Linked DNA regions of Kluyveromyces lactis. Each later gene encodes a partner of the first gene's protein in a complex. Links are inferred from orthologs where the notes say so. Each region holds a gene or a part of one and is shown on either strand. Other genes may lie near its edges. The genes, in order: CAC2 and ASF1.

Evidence for each region.
Region 2: the proteins of CAC2 (region 1) and ASF1 are in contact, whole or in part, in a crystal structure (PDB 2Z3F), measured with the Schizosaccharomyces pombe proteins. The link is inferred for Kluyveromyces lactis from reciprocal best matches to the Schizosaccharomyces pombe genes pcf2 and asf1. Residues at the interface, in NP_594450.1 of Schizosaccharomyces pombe: Lys503, Arg504, Ile505, Ala506, Pro507, Thr508, Pro509, Val510, Tyr511; in NP_588267.1 of Schizosaccharomyces pombe: Phe28, Asp37, Leu60, Leu61, Val62, Gly63, Pro64, Ile65, Pro66, Gly68, Ile69, Asn70, Lys71, Phe72, Val73.

Annotation. Positions count from the first base shown.
Region 1 is NC_006041.1:982,245-985,760, forward strand, and holds CAC2 (Cac2p), read left to right. Parts: upstream 1-1,424; coding exon 1,425-2,906; downstream 2,907-3,516. Other genes in the region: KLLA0_E11155g (HAD domain phosphoesterase family swiss army knife RNA repair protein), read left to right, coding at 1-452; CUE1 (Cue1p), read right to left, coding at 3,278-3,516. UniProt on the Schizosaccharomyces pombe protein: Acts as a component of the histone chaperone complex chromatin assembly factor 1 (CAF-1), which assembles histone octamers onto DNA during replication and repair.
Region 2 is NC_006041.1:1,330,469-1,333,486, reverse strand, and holds ASF1 (nucleosome assembly factor ASF1), read left to right. Parts: upstream 1-1,558; coding exon 1,559-2,392; downstream 2,393-3,018. Other genes in the region: KLLA0_E14917g (uncharacterized protein), read left to right, coding at 18-1,109. UniProt on the Schizosaccharomyces pombe protein: Histone chaperone that facilitates histone deposition and histone exchange and removal during nucleosome assembly and disassembly.

The DNA.
Region 1 (3,516 bases):
TCCGTCAACTGGTTACTCAAATGTCGCAAGACACCAATCAAGCGTATCCGTTCTCACTTCCGATCATAGTACCATTAGGTTCGTTACCTGGGTCCCAAGTGGAAATGTTCCAAAATCACAACTCCGTGACACCAGAAGCGTCTACAGAAGATTTTAGGAAACTGATTGGTGATGCTACATGCTTCTGTCCCAACAAAGTCATAGACTGGTCCATCCGTGAAGCAATCTCTTTGGAATCATCAAGATTGGCATTTTCCGTCGGCTCGACCCAACAACCGGGAACCCATATATTGTTCACTTCGGACTACTCAGATGAAGATATGCAAAGTGTGATGGACCACATCAACAACAGGGGGTCTCTTGCTGAAATAAACCACTCACTACCCAGTTTCTCAGCAATAGCTATTCCAAAATACCATTATCTGGCAAAGACAGCATGCGACGTTGAATAAGTACTAGAAACAAGACGTCAGACACTAGATCTGGTTAACGACAAGGACAAAAAGAACAAGAACATACATACAAACATAAACCCAAGGCTATAATAAATAATTTTAAACTAAATATAAAATTGTGGGGAACTTCATTTGTATTCCAATCCAAAGGGTATAGAACTGGTTCTCACGAACAGATCTATCATAAATTGAAATAATTGTAAACAAAGACTCCAAGAGGATGTTCCTTGTATTTCAAAGGACCCTCAGATGCACATTTCATTGGTGCACACCCGAAGTACCACACCTCTCCAGTTAGCAGTTCATTTAAGCACAATAACGGCTCCAGTAGTCTATTGAAAGAAAAGTTTACTGGGAATTTGACTGATGCGCTGAGTAAAATTCTCCTGAATCTCAACGCATTGGTATCTGCTGATACCACTACAAACTTCCCAAGTATAAAATGTTGCAATAGATGCAACAGTTGATCTGATCTGATCTGTGAGTACAGTTTCAGACAGCTCGAGCCTGAGTTATGACTAAAGTAATGGTGACAGATCTGAAAATTTTTTCAAACTGACTGAATTTATATTGAAAAAAACTGTTATTTCAGTCTACTATAGGGCTATTATATTGAAAAAAAGAGAAAAGACAGGCGGAAGGGGGTTGTATGTCGTGTTCACTACCTTTATTCAGTGTTGGAATATTTCTAATGGCATAAGGTTCCCATCATGCAATGTATATATTCATTTAAATATCCAATTTGCTGCTGTATCGCTGATATTCTTTCCTTAAGAAATCGAATTCCTCAGTAAAAGACGATACACGTAAACAATCTGGAAAAAAAAAGAATATCAGGCATTGAAGGGAAAGGTAACGTTGATCTAAAGAGTTATAACGAAATTTGTTAACGCACTAGTAGAGTAATTCTGAGCTCATAAGATAGGACTAGTTCAATTTATCTCAGTTCGAGTAGAGAAAGTGGAAAAAATGGTACAATCCGAGAGTTTACAGATATATTGGCATGACTCTCATCCGATATACTCGTTATGTTTTCAACCCTTATCAGAGACTAACCAGAACACTAGACGGTTGTTCACTTCGGGAGGTGACAATAAAATCAGGGTCTGGCAATTGAATGAGAGCGAAAATGATGGGAAGATAGAGACAATTGATTTTCTTTCGTCGTTGACGCAGCACGAACAAGCTGTCAACGTTTGTCGATTCAATAAGCAAGGTGACACGTTAGCCACGGCGGGAGACGATGGGTTATTGTTACTATGGAAGAAGAACGAGACTATGGTAAAGGAATTTGGTGTAGATGATGATGAATTCCAAGATTTTAAGGAATCGTGGGCTGTATGGAAGCGATTAAGGTCAGGGTCAGCCTCGAATGCCGAGATTTATGATATTTCATGGAACCCTCAGGGAACGTGCATAGCTATTGCATCTTTGGATAACACCGTACGAGTGTTCAATGTGGATCAGGGAAAAGTGGTAGGACATATAACGGAGCATAATCATTACGTGCAAGGGATTGTATGGGACCCTCAGGGAGAATTTATCGTATCGCAATCTGCAGACAGATCATTGGCGATTTGTAAGATGATTTATGAGGACAACGAAGTAAAGGGCTTACAATTAGTGAATAAAATATTAAAATCAGAACTACCAAGGAGGAAAAATCCTGGTGAAAAAGAACTCGATTTTGATAAGTCGAAGGTGACTTTCTTATTCCATAACGAAACCCTTCCGTCATTTTTCAGAAGGCTGTCCATGTCACCATGCGGCAGTCTCTTATGTGTACCAGCTGGGGTCTTCAGAAATGATGAACAAACGGATGCCTCAAATAATAACCCAGAGTACGCGAATGCCGTATATATTTACACAAGGGCTTCTCTAACTTCAAATTCAAACAAACCCGTGTTTTCACTACCCTTTCTACAAAAACCGGCATTAGTGGTCAAGTTTAATCCTATCATGTACGAAACCGCGTCTGAATGGGTGAAAGCACCTTATACACTGGTATTCGCTGTAGCAACTACGAATGAAGTGCTGGTGTACGACACACAAAATACCAGTCCTATAGCGATCGCAGGAAATTTGCATTATACCCCCATAACAGATCTTGCGTGGAGCCAAGACGGAACATTACTAATGATATCAAGCACAGACGGGTTCTGCTCATATATTCACTTCACAGACAATGATTTTGGCACACCTTTGAAAGATCAATCTATACCAATCTTGACGAAGGAACTCGAATCACAATCGCAATCACAATCACAACCAGAATCATCACAAAAGGCTAGTATCGTAAATCTTAGTACCGGTGCCGCCGAAACTCCAAACCCTTCACCAGCTAAAAGATCGATCTCGCAGCTTGTCTCAGAAGCTGCAACCACAGTTGGAAAGGAGAAGCTCAAACGCAGGGTTCAACCTACTCTCGTCACATCAGATCAACCTAAATAGAACTAGATTAGTTTATAGAGAGGGAGATGGCGGAATAACACGTGACTTTGAACTGTTCTCTACGCAATAATTACTGTGTATAGTAGTAAGTAATAATCGCCGAGTTAAGATTCGAGACACCAGCCGATTGCCTTATTGCCAAGCCCGTGACAAGAATCAGGGTGTTGGCAGTTCTAGGAGGTAGAAACAGAAAGGTCTGGGAAACAATATAGAAACAAAATAGGAAATGCAAAAAAATGGTTAGTCACGTGATCAACATTTCTCTCTGGAAAGACATCTAGCTGTAAAGGACACACTCTAGCATGTAATTGAGAATGGATTTCATTTACTGGTATATGTACGATTTATAGATATCTACACAATTGTACCTATCATTTCAGTAGAGACTGTAGGTATTCACTGTTTTCCACCTTTAGTTCCATACTCTTTCTTGCCTGCCATACCATTAATCTCTTTCTTTCTTCTATGGAAAGATCGTTGGGATTCAAGTTTGAAAGATCTTCTTGTGGATCCACGTTGAATTTTTTTAGCAGATTGTCAGCTTTAATGTTGGATCTTTTCCGTGGATCTGTAGATGTGCTATTGTTGTTTGTATTGTTTCCTGTAGTTA
Region 2 (3,018 bases), about 350 kb from region 1:
CTTCGCCAGGTTACAAGATGCCCCCCGTGGTTCTGCTAGGAGTCGTGGCTGCTATCGTGGCTAATGCCTTACAGGCATTAGGACTCGTTTTCCAACGGAAAGCTGAATGTATTGAAATGTTCCACTACAATAATTCGGAACTTCTTTCCCTTCATTCTGAACTGAAGGTACCACCTAGATCAATCGTTTATAGGAATAAGAGATGGCAATTGGGGTTTTCGCTTTTCCTTTTGGCTAATTTATTCGGTTGTGTCATTCAAATAGCTACTTTGCCCTTGATCGTATTGGCTCCCTTACAGGCATCTGGCCTGGTTTTCAACTCTTTATTTTCCCATATGCTTCTACGAGAACCGTTCCCCCTGATTCCCACTGGTTTTGTTTGTGCTGGTGGTACCATCATGGCTTCAATGTCATGTATGTTCATAAACACTCCTTTGACGCATACGTTTGAAGAGTTGTGCGAATTGGCTCAAAGTGAAAAATTTATTCGTTATTTTGTCGGTACCAACGCTTTAGCTATCATGTCTATTGTGGTGGGTGTTTTCGGTGTCGGGAAACGTGTCAAAGGGTTTTCGCTTGTATTTGCTAGTGGTATATGGTCAGCTCATGCTTTACTCATTGCCAAATGCGTGTCGAACGTTATCGTTACTGAATGGTCCATCTCTTTACATATGGTCTTGCTCGTTTTGGTATTGGTAACTTTCTCGTTGACTCAGTTGTATTTGTTGAACGCAGGGCTTTCTCATCTTTCTACATCGATCCTTTATCCGTTTGTGTTCTCCATCTATAATTTGACTACAATCTTGAACAGTACAATGTTCTATCACGATTCATTGGTACCGCATACAGCCGAGATTTTATACACAGGGCTTGTGTTCGGTTTCATAGTGCTAACCATCGGAGTGGTACGCATTTCTGCATCCATCTACTACTTTGAAGAATCTTTGGTTCACGATTCGAAGTTTCTCTCTGAATTGGATGGCTCTCATTCACCATCATCGTCTACTTCCTCTGCGGCCGTGCTATCGTATGGCTCGCTCAATAATGGAAGACCTTTGTCGCAAGAATTCGTACAAGAATCTAATACTTATACATCGTTGACGGTGTAACAAAAAAAAAAGAAGGGGAAATGGCCGTGCTGCGGCTTCCCCTCTACATTGCATCTTCCTTCACCTTGAACTTCAATTTTACATAAGGTATGTATATTCACTTCTATATCTCTTTTTTTTTTTTTGTTTCATTCAATAAAACTTTTGATCGTATTATTATCGAGCTACTGTTGTTAGAGTGTTATCAACCTACAGCAGCCCTTGTTGATTCAACGTTCTCTCCTACCGGTCTTTTTCTTTGTCTGATTGAAAACTTCACGCGACGCGCTTTCTTTTAAACTTTTCAACTATTCAATATAAAGATAGAAAAAAAGATTATACATCACATCACATAACCTTAACAAAAGCATTGCTCTAAGAACAAGCTTTGTTAATCCAGTGACTACGTATCAAGGCATCGGGAGAGTTACTGTAGGGATCATTATATTAGTTACAGCGGTTTTTCGGTCATGTCTATTGTATCACTTTTAGGAATCAAGGTATTGAACAATCCAGCCAAGTTCACAGACCCTTATGAATTTGAAATCACTTTTGAATGTCTTGAGCCATTAAAACACGATTTGGAATGGAAATTGACGTATGTTGGTTCTTCTAGATCACTTGACCATGATCAAGAATTGGATTCTATCCTGGTGGGTCCTATACCCGTTGGTATCAACAAGTTCAAATTCGTGGCAGATGCACCTTCACCAGATCTGATTCCTGCTAGTGAATTGGTCAGTGTTACTGTGATTTTACTATCGTGCTCTTATAATGGTAAAGAGTTTGTAAGGGTTGGGTACTACGTAAACAACGAATACGATTTGGAAGAATTGAGAGAGAACCCACCTCAGAAAGTGCCTATTGATCATGTGGTGAGAAATATCCTTGCTGAGAAACCAAGAGTTACTAGGTTTAATATCGTTTGGGATAATGAGGGTGAAGAAGAGTTCTATCCTCCGGAACAAGAAGAGCCTGAGGAAGAGGAAGAAGAGGAGGAGGATGAGGATGAGGATGAAGAGGCAGATGAGGACGCTGAAGAAGATCTTGCAGAAGAAGACGATGTAGATGATGGTGAAGGTGAGGAAACTGCTCCTGAAAAGAAGAAACTGAAAAGGGATCCAAAGAAATCTACTGCTTCTGACGTTAAGAACGACGAGGGTGAATCGCAAGCGGAATCTTTGGGACCTGAAGAAGACGAGGAAGACGAGGAAGAAGCGGAAGAGATAGACTTAGAAAAAGAAAGTGATAGTGAGAATGATGCAGATTTGCCTACGCCGCAGGATACTACCCAACACAAATAATAGTAACGGTTTCCACGTCCTGGCCTCCCGCGGCGGCCTCCCAAATTAACGCACTTTTATATACCTTTCATAAGTATCGTTTCAATCCCGTTTGTAACATTGCTGACCAACACAAACCGGTACTCTTCCTCACGTCGATGAAGCGTCCAAAAAATCAAGACTGCATCAACTACTAGCTTGGAGGGAAGGTCTTTATACGCTTCGAATGCAATGTTGTCGTTCAAGACAAAAAAGAAAATGGACGAGTCCGGAGTCGAACCGAAGACCTCTCCCATGCTAAGGGAGCGCGCTACCAACTACGCCACACGCCCGTAATTTCTGAAAAAGTACATTTTTCGTTCCCCATACCGAAAAGAGAAAATCCTACCGTTTTTATCGTCAATCCGGCTGGGAAAACAGTAAACCCTCCAAAAGTAGCAGTTGATAAGGTGGTATCTCTCTAAAATAGCAGTTTCACAGCAGTTCAATCCCTGTATATTTGGACTATGGATGGGTCCTTTAGCCAGCATTGTAGTCAAGGATGAGTTACTCAACGTCGGGACATATTATGAGGTAAATAAGATTACCCGGAAATTGGAGACTTTCGGAACCTGACAGAGATATAACAGCAGCTTCTTTGGAAGGAA